Rattus norvegicus: one gene and its partner. The protein of the gene in region 1 interacts with the protein of each later gene in a pairwise test. Links are inferred from orthologs where the notes say so. Each region holds a gene or a part of one and is shown on either strand. Other genes may lie near its edges.

Region 1 (8,962 bases):
AGGTACAAATGTAGCTGCCTCTGGAACATAGCTTTTCTTCCTTCCTTCCTTCCTTCCTCTCTCTCTCTCTCTCTCTCTCTCTCTCTCTCTCTTTCTTTCTTTCTTTCTTTCTTTCTTTCCCTGGCTGTCCTGGAACTCACTCTGTGAGTCAGGCTGGCCTCAAACTAGAGAGATCTAAATGTATGTACCACTTCCACCCGGCATTAAGATTCATTTTATATTTTGTCTGTTGGTCTCTTATTTTAAGATTTATTTATTTATTATACATAAGTACACTGTTGCTCCCCTCAGACACACCAGAAGAGGGCATCAGATCCCTTTACAGATGTTTGTGAGCCACCATGTGGTTGCTGGGATTTGAACTCAGGACCTCTGGAGGAGCAGTCAGTGCTCTTAACCGCTGAGCCATCTCTCCAGCCCTGATCTCCTCTTAATCACCATTAATTTCTCATCTCCACCTGAGCAGCACTGGAAATCCCAGCAAGGCAAAGGGCTTGCTTAAGCAGTTCTGCTATCTTGTTAAATCTTCAGCCCCAACTGACCAGAACCATAGAATATTAATTCAAAATAACAAATGGCCCCAGTTGTGTCTTTAAACTTCTGTCACTTCACAAGCCAGACCTCTATCATCCACATTGCCCTCAAAAGTCTCATCTTCCAACCTTTTACACAATGGCTCATCAAACACTGATGAACACCCTCCCCCAAACGACATTGTCAGGGTTGCCGCAGCAATGCCCCTAAGACCAACTTGTCTCAGGGTTACTATTGCTGTTATGAAACACCATGACCAAAAGGAACTTGGGGAAAAAAGGGTTTATTTCGCTCACAGTTCCACATAATAGCTTATCAAAAGCAGTGAGAACAGGAATTCACAGGGCAGGACCCAGAAGGCAGGTGCTGATGTAGAGGTCATGAAGGGTGCTAATTGCTGCCTTGTTCAGCTTCCTTTCTTATAGAACCCAGGACCGCCAGCCCAGGAGTGGCACCACCCACAATGCACTGGGCCCCTCCTCAACAATCACTTATTAAGAAAATGCCTCAGGAGAGGCGACCTGCAATACTAGCCAAAACAATAGATCATTGCCTATCCCATCCTCAGAGGCTTCATTTAGCACCTGATGGAAGCAGATAGAGACTTGCAGCCAAGAATTAGCCAGTTCTGGAAATCCCAAGGAAGCAGGAGGAGGAAGGGTTGCAGGAGCCGGAAGGGTCAAAGACACCATGAGAACACTTCCCTCAAAAACAACTAAGCAGGGCTCATAGGGGCTCAAAGTCACTGAACCAACAACCAGGGAGCCCGCATGGGACTTCCCTAGGTTCTCTGCACATATGTTACGGTTGTCCAGCTTGGTATTCTTGTAGGAATTCTAACAATTAGAGTAGGGGCTGTCGCTGACATTTTTGCCTGCTTCAGGGATCCTTTTCCTCTTACTAGGTTGCCTTGTCCAGCCTTGATGTGAGGGCTGTGCCTGGTCCTATTGCATCTTGTGCGGGTTTGGTAGATGTCCCTGGAAGGCCTATTCTTTTTCTGAAGGGAAAATGGAGGAAAAGTGGACCTAGGGGAGAGTGGATTGGGAAGGGGTGAAGGGAGGGCAAACTGCTATTGAGATGAAGAAAAAACTGAGAAGAAGAAAAAAGATTGATACAAATAAGCATCTTCAAGGTATCTAAGAATAGAAATGTAACCATTTAGGGAGGGAGAAAGCCCTTAAAGGCCTGCCTACGACCTGTCCTTACAGAGGCATTTTCTTTTCTCTGGGATTTTAGAGACAAGGTTTCTCTATATAGCCCTGGCTGTCCTGGAATCCATTCTGTAGACCAGGCTGGCCTCCAATCAGAGACCCAACTGCCTCTGCCTCCTGAGAGATGGGATTAAAGGCAAATGCCAGTATCGCTTGGCAATCTTATGTTTTTAAAGCAGAGGTTCTCAAACCTTCTTAATGCTGTGACCCTTTAATACAGTTCTTCATGGTGTGGCGACCCCTCCCACCATAAAACTGTTTTTTTTTTGGTTTTTTTTTTTTTTTGGTTCTTTTTTTCGGAGCTGGGGACCGAACCCAGGGCCTTGCGCTTCCGAGGCAAGCGCTCTACCACTGAGCTAAATCCCCAGCCCCCACCATAAAACTGTTTTAGTTGCTACTTCATAACTGTAATTTTGCTACTGTTATGAATGGTAAGGTAAGTATTTTTGGAGATAAAGGTTTGTCAAGGGGGTCACAACCCACAGGCTGAGAAGCACTGTTTTAAATTGTTGGACTAGAGAATGGCTCAGTGCTAGATTCCTTGCACTCACATCAAAGGATTCATGAACACTTCTTACTCCTCCTCCTGGAGGATCCCATGTCCTTTCTTGGCCTCCTTAGGCTCTGACATATACACACAGGCATAATATGTCAACTCTGCTCTGCATGGTGACACGTGTCTTTCATCCAGAACTCAGGGGACAGAGGCAGGTGGATCTCTAAATTTGAGGCCAGCCTGGTCTACAGAGTTCTAGGACAGGTGGGACTTAATGGAGAGACCCTGTCTCAAAAACTTAGCAAAAAATAATTTTTGGAACAAATGGTTGTTGCTTGATTTTTTTAAAGATTTATTTATTTATTACATATGAGTACACTGTAGCTGTCTTCAGACACACCAGAAGAGAGCATCAGACCTCATTACAGACAGTTGTGAGCCACCATGTGGTTGCTGGGATTTGAACTTGGGACCTCTGGAAGAGCAGACTGCTCTTAACCGCTGAGCCATCTCTCCAGCCCATGATTTTTTTTTTTTAAGAAAGAAAGGAAGTGTATCAAAGATTAAATGTGGCTGCAAAGCCTAAACTATTTGAAATCTGAGCTTTTTTAAAGTTTACTGGGCCCTGTTGTACAGGGACCTTTTCTGACTCTACAAGAACATGGGACTTCATGTTCTACAGTGATCTTCAATCTCTCCCAGCATGTTTTATGTAGTATTATTTTCTTTCGTGTGTGTAGATTTAGATTGCCCTTAAGACAAAAGTTGTGCTGAGAACGTGGAGGGCTGAAACTGGCATCTGCAAGAGGTTCCAAGGGTCTGGCTATTGGATTATGGGACTGTCACTCTACTTGCTAGTCAGTGATGCAGAACCCCAGATGGTTTCTTTCTGGTCACAGCCAGAAAGCTCCTTAGGAAATGGTGTCCTCAAGAGGGGGAAGATCAGGACAACTCGGTCACCTGTGGGACTGATACTTAGATACTTAGACACAGGATGGGCATCTCAAAGAGTCACAGGGACAATTTTCCCTTCTCAGTCTACCACTTGCTATTAGTTTGATTACTCAGAGGGGGACAGGTAGGTTGAGCTCCCATTCAGGAGAAACAGTCCTTTGCAAATCCATTCTGATCTTGGTACTAGCATCTCAATTTTCCAGGAGAGGAAGCTGAGGACAGAGCTGTGACCTGCCAAGATCTAAATCTAAGTCCCTCTGTGTGTTGTCTACAGAGCAGCCTTAACAATGCAAACTGCCTCACAGAAGTCAGGCTTTCTGACACACTGAGCCACTTAGGCCCCACCCCTGCACCAGCTCGCAGAGACTCCTTCTAGTCTTAATAGCTAACATTTGGGGCTGCTTCTTGAATACCATCGGAGTGACTAGTAGCTCAGGAAATTATCAACATTTACCATCACACTCATTTGGGTTGCCACCAGCCAAAGTCTATTATTAGCGTTTATCTCGAACTAGTCACCCGCTGGCGCGAGCTACGTCATCGCCAAACGCAGCTCAGGAATCTTGGGAGCAGACGTCTCTTCCAAACATCCTAGCTTCTTTGATTTGCTCCACACAACACAACTGATGCGAATCCGTAGGTCTTCTAGGATGACTAGCCTGGAATTGAGAATGGCGGCAGCAGCAATCCGAACCACAGCAGCGGTGGATGCGGGGGTGGGGAGTGGGGAGCGTGTTAGCGCTAGGGGCAGATCCGGGTCTCGAACCTGGGAGTAGAACACCACGCAGGCGCAGTAGGACCGGTTCCACGGGCATGCTCGCGAGAGGTGTGGTTTGCACCCGAAGCGTTGTGGGCGGACTAGATCAGTTTTGTGGGCTGGAGGTGGGCGGGTAAATTAAAACGCTCAGCCCAATGGAAAAGAAGGGATGAGGGCCCGGGGCCACACAGGTCGCCGGGAATTTGGCGGCGCGAGTCAAGGGCGGAGTTTGGAAAGGGGGCAGTGCTCAGTAAGTAGGGACAAAACGATTGGCCGGCGTGGATGGCTGGGCGGGAGTTGGGCGGAGGCTTGCCACCGGCTGAGGGAGCTTGGTTAAACGGTAGGCGTCTGGGAAGGGGGTGGGGTCTGAAGGATTCTGCTCGAAAGGGGCAGTCCTCTGAGCAGCGGGGCAAAGGGGAAAGCTGGGGGCGAGATCTGTGAGAGAGGAAGGTGCGGGCTCGGCCCTACAGGAGGTGGAGTTGAGTGAGTCTTTGAGGGTGCTGCCGAGGCCGCGGCAGCCTGGTCTGGCGGACGAGAAAGGTGGGTGATTTATCTGGGGAGCTAGGCTGAAGCGGGCAGGTTGCAGAAGCCAAGCGTTCCGAGCGCAGATTAGAGGTATGAAAGGATGTGGGAAGTGGAGGGGTGGGGGGCGGTGACTGGACAGGGCAGGCCTTAGAAGAGCCTGGCTGAGCCTGGGCTTACCTCGTTTAGTGAATAGGCAAAATGAGGAAAGAATCGGGTAAAAGCAGCGAGGTCCAGGGGGAATGGACCGGACCAGGTTTCCTCTAGGAGAAGATGGCCTTGGGGGGGGCGGGGTTTAGAAGGCTCGGGAATGGAACGGGGTGAAGGCTGCGCTCTAGAATAGGGGGCGGGGCCTGGAAAGGAGCTGTGATGTGGGGTCCTCTGGACACTGCAGCCGCCTCACCACCAACGACACCTTTGCTAGAGCCGTTCCAGGAGCAAAGGCTCTTCAGCCATGACCTCCACCGGCCAAGATTCTTCTACCAGGCAGCGAAAGAGTAGGCACAATCCCCAATCGCCCCTTCAGGACTCCAGCGCCACCTTGGTGAGGCCCCAGACCAGCCCTGCTGGGGAGTGGAAGGGGGGGTGGGAAGCCAGCCATCCATGTCTTCTGATTCTTCTCTCTGATTGGCAGAAGCGTGGTGGGAAGAAGGGTGCTGTACCCCACTCCAGCCCCAATCTAGCGGAGGTAAAGAAGAAAGGCAAAATGAAGAAGCTCAGCCAACCAGCTGAAGAAGACCTAATCGTTGGGCTTCAAGGGCTGGTAAGCGAGGCCTGGCTGAAGTTTGGCCTTCTTTACCAAACAAAACAGTGATTTTCCCCATCATGGACGGTGTGAGGTGTTTCCTCTGATTGGATCTGTGTTTCATTTCTTTCCCCTGCAGGATCTGAACTCTGAGACAAGAGTACCAGTTGGTACTGGATTGGTATTTGATGAACAGCTAAATGACTTCCACTGCCTTTGGGATGACAGGTGAGCCTGGGATCACCAAATTGTCCCCAAACTATAAAATTTACACAATTGCCCCCTTCTTCCCACAAACAAGAGTGAATCTTTTGTTATTCGAGCCTGTAGTCTGGAAGCAGGTGATTTAGGGAGTGGGGATCATTCTGGAAAGGGTTTTCTTTTAAGCCAATAAACGGAGTGTATACTGTGTGCCAAGAGTTACTGATATATGTGACCAACATAGAAAAGACCTTTCTCAGCTCACTGGTGAGTATGAGGGGAGATCATTAAACACCCAACAGTGGTATAAACTGTTCAATGAAGACGAAATGACTGGGAAATCCACGTGCAAAATTTTGCTTTGAGATAGAATCTGACGCTGTACCCTGGGCTATCCTGGAACTCATTATGTAGTCATCGGCCTCAAACCTCCCATGAGCCTCCTGTCTTAGCCACTTGAGTGCTGATATTTGTAGGCATAAACTACTACACTTGGCTAGAAATGATTGTTAGAGGGCCCTGGCCTCTAGCTAGCATGAGCCTTCTTTAAGAATGAGACATTTGGGGCTGGGGATTTAGCTCAGTGGTAGAGCGCTTACCTAGGAAGCGCAAGGCCCTGGGTTCGGTCCCCAGCTCCGAAAAAAAAAAAAACCAAAAAAAAAAAAAAGAATGAGACATTTATGCTGAAATACACTTCTCGAAAGAATCTATTTATTCTTTTTGGCTCTGTCTTCAAAATATATTCACTATCTGATTTCTTTCCACTTGTTCCCTGCTTCTAGCCTCCACATTGAAACCTAAAAAAAAATACATTTGAGATATTTCCTTTCTTAAAATACTTCAAGGCCAGAGCATTGCTCTTAAGGTAAAATTGGAATTCTTTATCTTGGCCTCTAAGGTTCCACGTGATTTGGCTCCCTGTCACCTTTTGTGACCTGTTCAGCCAGGCCTTTCCTTGTGTGCTTCAGTTCACTTCACTCACACTGGCCGCCTTCTCTTCTTTCAATATGCCAGGCGCCCTCTAGCCTTGGGTCTTTACCCTTGACTGATTCCTCTTTCAACTTTCACAGCTATGGAGACTCGCAGAAGCCTTTGACTGGCCACTACCTTTCTCACATCTGATCTTAGCTGTTTTACTAGCCTCCGTCATCGTTTGTTAATCATTACACTGATATTTACAAATATAGTAGCCGTCTCCCCTATCCTAACCTGAAACTAACTCACGATGTCAAGAGGCTCTCTTTATGGTACATTTGTTGAGGATACAGCCGTAAACAAAGTTGCCTTCAGAAGTAGTCAAGAGGTGACCTCTACAGTGTTAGAGCAGAGGAATTCAGGTGGGAGGGAGAGGAAAGTTTGAGTAGAAGGGGTGCTTCCCTTTGGAATACAATAGCTAGGGGAGGTAGTGCTAACATTTGAGTAAAGATACAAGGGGCGGAGGGGGGAGGCTAAGGGACTGAGCCATGAGTCATCGCTGAAAAGAGTATTCCAGACATGTAAGACAGTTGAAGTCCTCAGGTCTAGCTGAAGGGAATGTGATTTAATTGCAGACCAAGGACCATAGCCCAGGAAACAAGGTGAAAGAGGAGGGGTGTGGTTAGAAAGAACCAGAATAGGGATGGGGCTAGCTTTATTTTTTAGGGCCTTCTAGGTGTGATGCAAAGTTTGGCTTTACTGGGAACAGAGTCAGAGCTACAAAAGGGTGTTGAGGAGTAAAAATCCTAACCACTGGCTGGCTGCAGTGTAAAGGAGGGGCTATTGGGGGAATCCGTGTAGAAGCAGGGGGCGGTTCGGGTAAAGGTGATGGAGCAGACAGCTCAGACTGCAGTTTCCCACTACCCGCATGAATGCTAGCAGGGAGGAAAGTAGTGGAAGACGTAAGGAAATGCTAATGTTGCAGGTAAGAGGTGAGCAGCTATGGGAGGGTGGGTAGGAGATGGGACAAGAGCAGACGTGCTCCCTAGCATTTTGTCTGTGTATCTGTGTGATCCCCCTCTCCACCTCCCCAGCTTCCCTGAAAACCCTGAGCGGCTCCATGCCATCAAAGAGCAGCTGATCCTGGAGGGCCTCCTGGGCCGCTGTGTGTCCTTTCAGGTGACTCCTCCACAGCCTTCAAAGGGTGGGTGGGGAACTGGCAGGACCTACGCATGGCCTGCACTTTAGCCTGTTTGCCTTGTGTCTCCCCAGGCCCGGTTCGCCGAGAAGGAGGAACTGATGTTGGTTCACAGGTGAAAACATAGGAGTTGATAGAACAGGGAGGAGGATCCCCGTGCCCAACCTGGATAGACTGAATGCTTAGGAGAGAATCCCATAGACTCTGTGGCCAGCCTTGAGCAAGTCCCTGAGCCTCTCTGAATCTGCGTCATGGCTAAAATACCCAAGTTCCAGCCAAGTGTGTTGATACATGCCTATAATCAATCCATCACTTGGGATGTGAAGACAAGAGAATCAGGAAATCAAGATAGCCTCAGCTACATAGCAGGTTTAACTTGGGTTTATGAGACCCTGTCTAAAAAAAGCCTCCTAGCCCCTAAAGAAAAGAAATCTAAGTCCTTCAGGGGGATCAGTGTGTATCAGGTACCTGACAGCATCTTAAACCTGTGAAGGGCTGGTGTCATTATAATCTGGTTCATTGGCTGATGCTAGATACTTGTCAAAGTGACCAGGAGGGTCCTGGGGACTAAAGAAGCTCAAAGGAAGGAGCCTGGTACAGTGTGGCTCACAGAAGAACCAGTTTGGCAGAGAGAATATATGAGCTGAGATCCAAGAGGCAAAAAAGTGGGTGAGTCTAGGGAAGAGAAGGACTGAGGAAAGGAAGATTCAACAGAACTGTAACTATATAGCCAGAGGCCTTGAAGTACAAGTTGATGTCTTTCAACAGGGAACTAAATACATAACTGGGGATGGGGGAGGCTAGAAAGGAAGCAGGGACTGCAGCCTAAATCCCAGCTGAACCCCTCGGCTGACTGGAAGCCTGATTTGACAAGAGTTCTGGTTGTAGAAGGTATGGCTGGAAAGGGACCAGGGCTGTAAAACCTCTATCTTGTGTCTCCAGCCTGGAATACATTGATCTGATGGAGACAACCCAGTACATGAATGAAGGAGAACTTCGAGTTCTTGCAGGCACCTATGATTCCGTTTATCTGCATCCGGTATGGAGAGAACTGTGGGGTCAGGGCGTGGCAGCATCTCTGGGGTATCTCCCGTATCCATGCCAACCTCACTGTGGGAATGAGAAGCTAAATGAATAGGGCAATGCTTTCCCTCTCTCTAACTCTTTCTCTCTGGTTTCCCATGGTCTCCAGAACTCATATTCATGTGCCTGCCTAGCTACAGGCTCTGTCCTCAGGCTGGTAGATGCAGTTATGGGGGCTGAGATTCGGAATGGCATGGCCGTCATCAGGTAGGACTCTTAAGCATTTGGCTTCTTACATGTTTTCAAAAGTATATCCGGGGCAGGGATTAAAAAAAAAGTATTTCCACATAGTGGTATATAGAGGTGCATATCTGTAATACCCGGATTTTGGAGGTGGATGTCAAAG
Region 2 (8,862 bases), on another chromosome or scaffold:
ATCAGTTTTAAATTAATACGTTTGCACTATTCTGCTTAGTCAGGACACAGACATCCATGGTCGACCTTGTAGTATAATGGCATCATTGTCAAAGTGATGGCATTTAAAAATCATAGTACAGTGACATATAGAGCATATGTGGGTGTGAAAACATATACGACCTCTGCTAAGGTTTGTTCCATTTATCATGCCTTAAATACTTTCACTTTTTCAAAATTTGTTATACTGGTAAAGAGTGTCAGTTTGTGACATGATTGTCTTCTAACGTCTGGCTTTGTTCTTCATGTTTAGTCTACTGAAAGGTAAATGCTCTTCTCAGTGAGGAAGAATTAAGACCCTTCAAGGTACAACTGCTTCTGCTTTAGATGAAACTAAGCACTGAGACATTATTATATTAATTAAATGAGCCAATCCATAGGGTTCCTGATGTTGAATGCAAAATACCTATTGCTTTGTTCTATGGTTTAGGTAGGCATCAATTCATCTGAATTGAGTTATTGCTTGGAGACGATACCCCTCGCCCAATAAAACAATCCACATGGACTTTTAAAATTAATATATGAAGAAATGGGTTTGTTATAGCATTATGATAAAATATTCATACATATATTGTTTTGGTTTATGACCTTCTGGTACTCCTCTCCCCTGGCTACTCAAATGTCATAGGTATTCTATTAGCTTCTTTCTTAATTTACCTTTCCCTTAAAACTTCTTTTTCCTTTCTAATGATCTCTTTCTAGTTTTGTGGCCTATACCATGTGTATGTGTATATGTAGACGGGTAAGTTTTACAGATGAGAGAGAATAGGTAGCATTTACCTTTCTGAGCCTGAATTTTCTCCTAGGCATACATAGAACCATAGTCAGATCCACGAATCCACAAGTTTTTCACATGGTCATTCTATTATCGGATGTTTTCAACATTGTAAAGTTTAGATAGAGTTTGTTATTAGAGTTTTAAAAGCAGCATCAAAACAACTAACCTGAATTACTAGGTATCTTTGAGGGTCTCTAGCCATCCTTGAAAACTCAGCAGCCAGTTCTTTGAATTTAGGTCTGCTGTCAGCATCGATCATCCAACCTGGAGATTAAGACGCAATAAACTATTAGTGCATCTATGCTTGGAGAAAGTGAGGTTAAAGTTTGGGTAATTATGGGGCAACTATGTGTGTATAGTTTTAGTAATATTCTGCAAAACAAAACTAGCGAAGGAAGCAAACCAGATTGTAACTCGGTTAATTGACATTGGTCATGGAATACAAGATACTATAAATTAACAATTTAAAAAAATCATTTAATTATGTTTTTTGTGTGGGTATGTGTACAGGGGCAGGTGCCTACAGAAGCCAGAAAAGAGCATCGGCTCACCTGAGCTTTGAGTTACAGGTGGTTGAGAGCTGCCTGACTTGGGCACTGAAACCCAGACAAATGTCCTCTGCAAGAGCATCACAAGCTCCTGACCGCTGACCCTTGTCTACAGGATCCCAAATTTTCATTGTGATTCAAACTCAATCTTTGGCTTAGAAAAATAGATTTTAGGATAACTCTAGGAAATTTTAAAACCTCCGATTTTTATTTTTCTTGCTTCAGAGTATTAAGATAATAAAACAATAAAGCATTCTTTGATGGCTACAGAGGTAGACAAAGAACACATGGAAGTTAAGATAGAAATTAAGAGTACATGGACGAAAGTGTTTGCTTGCCATCTTATCACTGTGGTACAAAAGACTGAAAGGGGGGAAACTGAAAGCAACTGCTTTTTGCCGGTTTGTTCCTGGTTGGAAGGAAAATGCAACATGATCTGTAATGTGTGTTCAACAATACTCATTTCACTTATCTTAGAATTAGCTTTCCCAGAATAAAAATACTAGTGTTCAAGGTAGGTAGCCTTCTTTATCTGGGAGTTCAGATTAAATGGATCTTAACGGCCTACGCTCTGTTTAGCTGATGAGATGACAAGAATAACAGCGCCAAGCTCGCTTTGATGTCATTGCCAAGTGATCCCTTTCTAAAGCATAAACTCTCCAGGGGAAGCGAGAAAAACAAAGGTGAAGCCATGTCTATGGTTTATCTAATAAGGCCAAATGTCTGCCTGCCTTCCCCTCATCACACTGGGGTATTCTAGTCACATCTGATGCTGGTGATGGGATCAAATTATCATATAACGTAGGGATGTTTTTAAGGTCTCTTCCAGGTAACTGGGTAAACCAGGACTGATCTAACGCAGCTATGGAGCTCTTTTTCTATTTCTAGGGAGTTCATTCTTATTCTTGTTTTGGAAATCCTCTGGGTATCATCTTATACATCCTTTGTGTCTCCTCTCGCAAGCCCAAACACTTGCATCTTATGGGTATTCATTTAAAAAAATGCTTGTTAATGCCAAGATGCTAATGGCAAAGCTACTAGAGCCAAAAAAGGTTAACTTCACTGCGAGATATTTGTTTCTCCCTAACTAAATATTGAGTAAATAGAACTATGCTTAGAGAAAAGGGCATGCTGACCTGCACTGCAAGGAACATTTTTTATTTCTTCCCTTCCTGTCAGAATAGATCACACATGTCATGAATATAAATATGAGAAGACCTGGGCCTAGAGTCTCTGAGTCTCTTATTAATAAAATGCCTATTCACCTTCACCACTTCCTGTCTTCCTTTAACCCTGTGTAAATCAAAACTAGAAAACCCCAGATTATACAAGAGAGATGGCTGCCTGTTAATCTCACTTAAATTAAGTCAGAAACCCCAGAGACTTCTTTAATTCTATTAAAATTAACGGTCTAGGCTTCCAAAAAAACACATTTATAAAACATATGTGTCTGGAGTATAGGAGTGGAAAGAAAAGTAGGAATATTTGATGTAAACAAATGATCAAATTAAAAAAGGTAAACATTTTAATCTTTGCTTCAATGTGGATTCCACTCTTCTGATTCCCAACCTGCTCTGCTAACTTACTTTTAATTAAGCCTATATCCATTTTAATTCTTTTTTAGACTATCAGTGATGTTTAGATATTTTCCCATGAAGATTAACATTAATATTATTACTAACATCCTTATGAGTAGTAATCTCTCTTTATGACCCACTTTGAAGGGTATGGAAATTATAAAACATATGAACAAGAATGATACAATTTTTACTTTGTAGCTTAGAGGTATACTATTATCTCATAATAATAATTACAACAAACATGGATTTATATTCCGCATTCCTAAGTATTCTTGCTACTATGTTTAGCAATGCAGGGAAACACTTTTCAGGTAGAACAATCTAAACTTTTATTTTATTAATAATAATGATGCAAGCAAGTGATAAAATTATTTTCCAGGCTTACATTTGACCATGACCATGTAAACGTCAATAGTGCAGATGGGAGGTTGAGGCAAACGCTCTCCCTTCTCTAATAAGTCAGGGATTTCTCGCGTTGGAATTCCATCATAGGGCTTTCCTCCAAAGGTCATCAGTTCCCATATAGTGACACCTAGTTGAAAAGATAATTCTCACATAAGCAAATTACCATCACAATTTGAATGAACACATATAAAGTTACTCGTTTACAAACCCATCAGTTGAAACTTTAAGGAATCTCCTTAATCCACTGTCACTCACTGCAAAAAATCCCAATGCTAAACTCTCCTGGGACCAGTAACAGAATTCTTTCACTATTGTCTTGAACTTTTTAAAGCATAGCAGGAAAGATTTGTAATAGGTAATAGATACCAGAATTTAAACCAAGTTTCCCATTTGTACCAAAAAGTAATGCTAACGCTTATTGATGAAAATGGTTTCACGTGCATTAAGAGCCCAGATACAATGCCTTGACTGTGTTTAATGCCAAATCAATATGGTTTCAGGAAAAGCCTGACATGGATTAATTTTTAAATTAGTCTCTTGGTAAGAAACATCATCAAAGGCAGAGCTGGTAGTCGCAGAGGGTTGCAGGTAGCTGTTGTTATGGTAAAGCCTTGTGGCTCACTGTTCAGCCTACACAAAGAAAACAAGTGGCATGGAGCAATTCACTGAGCACACACAGGATTCCGCACGAGGATCAATCCATATGGAGGACAGAAAGTATAGGAATGGGTATCCGTAGAAAAGAGAAATGAGGAAATCAAGAGCAGCTTATTTTTAAGCTACGGAAATGACTTTTTTTGAATCACTTGAGCAATGACGGAAAAAAAAATGAGTAAAAGCAAAACCAAGAACACAAATAGCTTCACAACACACATTACTTCTTCACTATAGAGGGTAAATTCTCTGTTGCTGAGCTTTATCCTCAGACCAGACTACTTTAAAAACAGAAATACGATGTACGCATGATTGTGTTGCAATACGAGTCTATGCATACATAGGTAACCCTTTATAAAACCAAATAATTGGGGCGAGGTTTTCTGAATATCTCTGCAATGCTTATTTTCTTAAACTGATATCTGTCAGTCACTATTGACTGAAAACAAAACAAAAGTATGTAAACTTCAAATTATCCTTCAGACTAGAATCGTTAACACTTATAGGATTATTTGTTAATATTTACATCTTATAAATTTTTGGTGTCACATATATGTACAACTAGTAACATATTTCAGCAGATTAGCATTTACTAAATCCTTATTTATATCAAGAGCTAGTTGCTCAAAGTGTCAATAGTTCCACTTCAGTGGAAGGCTTGGAAAATATTGATCTATTTAAGCAAGTCAAGCACAGTGTGATACACATATATGCATATATACACACATCATAATAAATACATACAAACATATATACATACATACGTACATACATACACACACAGGCACACACATGCATACACACACACACACACACACACACACACACACACACACACACACACACACGCACACAGCATACGGACACAGGAAACATTTTATTAAACCATGGAATCATGTTTGCTGTTGCAAAGGACAGTATTAAGTTAAACATGAGTACTGACGTCAGGGATTGTGTTCTTTTCTTCTCTCTTCTTTTATACGCATTTAGTTATGGGTGTGTGTAATCGTGAGGATCTGCCACAGCACATGACTGGAGGACAGAGGACAAGTTGAAGGAGTTTGTCTTCTCCTCCCACCAAGTCATTTCTGAGGTTGAGCTCACTCTCTTCACCTTGGCAGTAAGCACCTTCACCTTCCGAAGCATCTTACAGGCCTAGAGGCATTGGTTTTTACTCACTTTGAACGTATTTACTCAATTAATATTAGTTTTCATGGCATATTTAAACTTAGACAAAGCATCGATCTCATCTAGTAATTTAAAGGGACAAAACTGTAAACATAGATGCTGCTAGCTAGTTCACCTTAACAACTGACTTCAAAATGATGAAATGAAATTCTAATCATAAATATTAATCTCTCTTTCATGTTCTTCAATCATTCAAACTTTATTTTTGTCATCCTAAAATGGGTTCATAAATGAAAATCCAAGCTACAATTAGCAGTCTCCTATTACTATTTTTACAATTGCCACTTTAGTATGTTTATTAGTGGTCCACTGTTGCTTCAATAACCAGTATATTTTCTAGCACTAGAATATATATTCCTTTAAGCAAAAAATAACATTTTGCTTTGTTTTACCTGTTAACATTGAGTACTTTCAGAGTTTTATGACTAAACAGCTGTTGAAAATTAAGGCCACGAGAAGTTTTTCCTAATGTTGGTTAGGTTGTGTGTGTGTGTGTGTGTTTGTGTGTGTGTGTGTGTGTGTGTGTCTGTCTGTCTGTCTGTCTCTCTCTCTCTCTCTCTGTGTGTGTGTGTGTGTGTGTGTGTGTAAGAATAGATTAATCAGACAAATTATTCTCAAACCATAGCATATAGAAGAAAACTTAGCAGTGATATTGTGTACTTCAGATTTAGAAAAACAAAATAAATCACCAAAAGGCAGATAAAATTGTGATTTGGGGATTTATTTTTAAATGAGAGACCAAAGTGTGTTAATTACTCTAGGAAATCAAATTTAATTTATAAGGGCTTCCAGTACAACCAACATACGACTTTAACTATTTTGTGTGAGGTAAACATTTATGTTTCTTTGAAAGTACAAATTTACAAAGATTTATTTACCGTAGCTCCAAACATCGCTTTGATGTGTGAATTTCCTATAATGTATACATTCCAGAGCCATCCATTTAATTGGCATCTATAAGAAGAATGAAAAGTAAATTATTAAAAATTACACAAGAATCATTTTTAAAAGATATTTCTTAGGTGCTAGTCTCTGGACTGGCCTCCATTAGAGTTGGTGGAGTGTGTATTGCTATAAACCAGTTGTTTTTCAAGATATGGAACAAATGGATTAAAATTAGTAAAATCTATGAAATAAATTAACCAAAGGACACATTTTAAAGCTTTAGAAATGATACAAAGAAAACTGAAAGTAGAAAATACTTTATCTATTTCTTAACATCTAGTATCTAAATTTTGAGCTGGCATTATGCCTGGCAATATAAAATCTGACAGTCTTTCTAAACGATGCTTTCTCAAAAATGAGACTCCCTCAGTTTCAGTGACCCTGCTTGTCTTTCTGATATGGTTTTAACCACAGATGTGAGCCATTGTTTCTTCAGTTGCCGTAACTTCCTCTTCTGGTCACCAAATTGTCTAATATCATGAATTCTAACATTTGCTTTGCTTTGTTCTTTCATCACAAATGATCTCCCTTGCCTGGGTAAGCCAGAATGGGCAATATGTACTGCTTTCGAAATAGGAGCTCAGAACATAAAGGAATGTGAGGGGATCAGCACAAATCCTTCATCGCTACAAGAGAAACAACTCAACCCATATCCCCTGTGGGTGATGGGTCAGCAGAATGCGTTTCAACCCAAAGGGCAGCAGTATGTAGCTGGGGGATATAATTAGAGTCTATGAAATAAAGATAAACATTTCTACTTTGCAGTTGAAAGCTTAAAACTAAATAGGCATTTGAAATCATGAGGTTGGCTGCTCACCAAGGTGACACCAAGGTAACTCTATGACAGAATCATGGGATTCACTGAAAAGGAACAGAAGACACATTGAAAGTAATTTCCCTATGGGCAAGGAGTTAGCGGACTTTATAGAGTATGGACACCCTGTTACAGAAGTAAGTTTAAATCATATGTGGCTTGATGAAGACTTAATGGTGACCAGGCATTTAAAGCTATAATGAATCTTGCTTTAGACAAACTTTACAGTTGTACGTTCCTAAGACGGGTAAAGTAATATGATTTATAGTCTGCTATTTCGGAGAAATCTTGTTGGAAATTTCATAGCTGTGATTTTTCAACCACTGGAGTTTGTAGGAGTTTGTAGTAAATAGACAAAATAGGCTGATAAAATTGAAGAAAGGTCAGATCATTTCTCAAACTTTTATTTATTTAATTTATTTATTTTTATTTATATTTTATTTATATTTTATAAAATTTTGTTATCTTACTTTGGGGTAAGATTTGAATATAGACAATTATGTAAAGGCCTCCGGTGAAGCATTGCTAAGTATTTAGAATTCTACCATTCCAAATGTTTACTTGTAAGGTATAATTAACAAATTCATATATATATATATATATAAATGATATTTTTTAAATCATAACTTCATAGGTCAACAGAGATGAAGAATTTTTAGGATTGTGTCACTGACCTGCTCTTGTATAGTTCTCTTCAATTAATCAAGATAGAAATATAAAACTTCCCTAATTAATTAGGCAAGAGTGTGGATTAATCAATAAACAAAAGATCTAAAACTAAGATATATATGAAACTGTTTGGATAGGGAGATATGCAGAAACCCAGTTGTCAGGCAAAACTGCAGTTAGAGGGCAGGAAAACATGGCTAGGGATGTAACTGGGTCTACTCTTTAATGTTAGTGGATTAGCTTATATTCTGGGGTACAGTCAAGTGGCAAGCAATGTATTCACTGTGACAGGAGTGAAATCAAAGCTACTACACTAGATCATCACGGGTATCACTTTTGGAGCTTTCGTATGAATTATGATTGTTGGTAGTACCGAAATTTCTCAGTGGTGCATGAGAAACTATCATTCTGTAAAAGTTCTTTAGACTCTGGATCAATGAGACGATCTTTACAGCCCTGTGTTAAAGGTTCACTTTCTGAGTCTCTAAGAATTGTCACACTGTTGTTTCCTTGAGAGACAGAGATGTGTTCATACCTTGTGAGATCTGTTGCTTTCAGCGCCACCTACCTTGCCACCGTCAGCATTGTATTCTTTTTCATCTCCTTCCAAGAGCCGGGCCAGTCCAAAGTCTGTGATTTTAACATGATTTGGAGATTTCACCAACACATTGCGGGCTGCCAGATCCCGATGAACAAGCCGCCTTTCCTCCAGATACATCATTCCCTGAAAAAACAAACCAAGTTCGACACAGGGCGTCACTTAAAAGCTGAAGGTTTTCATGTTTTAAAATGGGATACGCTGTTTCTCAAAGAAAAGACAGATTCCTGAATATTGTAAAAATAAAATAAGTAAAAAACTTGTGAGGCTGTGGCAAGCCACAGATAAATTTTGGCATAAAATATATACCTAGTTTTGGGGTATTTGATATCCTTTTGCAAACATTTCATTAGTGAGGTGAGCAGCTGTCTTAGTGGATAAGCTAACATATATACTTGGGCTGACCATTCCTCAACATTTTCTTGTCTCTAAATTTTGCTTAGTGCCATCTTCCTCCTACAAGTCATTCCAAATAAACACAGCTATCCATAACCAAAAGGCCTTCTATTCCAGGTTTGACGCTACCAAAATCATCTTCATGGAGTCTCTGAAGGCTGAAGAATTATATTGCTTTTCTTTTTATTCAAAGAATAAAGGATACCCCGGGGGTTCATGAAAGTCTAATTTCAAATAAAAGACTTTTAT

The links.
Region 2: the proteins of Hdac6 (region 1) and Erbb4 interact in a protein complementation assay, tested with the Homo sapiens proteins (2 studies listed by BioGRID and IntAct, with this or other methods). The link is inferred for Rattus norvegicus from reciprocal best matches to the Homo sapiens genes HDAC6 and ERBB4.

What each region holds. Positions count from the first base shown.
Region 1 is NC_086039.1:17,218,854-17,227,815, forward strand, and holds the start of Hdac6 (histone deacetylase 6), read left to right. Parts: upstream 1-4,321; 5' UTR 4,322-4,492; exon of another isoform or gene 4,493-4,567; intron 4,568-4,654; exon of another isoform or gene 4,655-4,862; intron 4,863-4,868; exon of another isoform or gene 4,869-4,898; 5' UTR 4,899-4,928; coding exon 4,929-5,018; intron 5,019-5,108; coding exon 5,109-5,237; intron 5,238-5,358; coding exon 5,359-5,447; intron 5,448-7,429; coding exon 7,430-7,514; intron 7,515-7,607; coding exon 7,608-7,648; intron 7,649-8,475; coding exon 8,476-8,572; intron 8,573-8,725; coding exon 8,726-8,823; intron 8,824-8,962.
Region 2 is NC_086027.1:77,011,794-77,020,655, forward strand, and holds part of Erbb4 (receptor tyrosine-protein kinase erbB-4 precursor), read right to left. Parts: intron 8,344-8,862; coding exon 8,188-8,343; intron 6,146-8,187; coding exon 6,070-6,145; intron 3,477-6,069; coding exon 3,330-3,476; intron 1,081-3,329; coding exon 983-1,080; intron 1-982. UniProt on the Homo sapiens protein: Tyrosine-protein kinase that plays an essential role as cell surface receptor for neuregulins and EGF family members and regulates development of the heart, the central nervous system and the mammary gland, gene transcription, cell proliferation, differentiation, migration and apoptosis.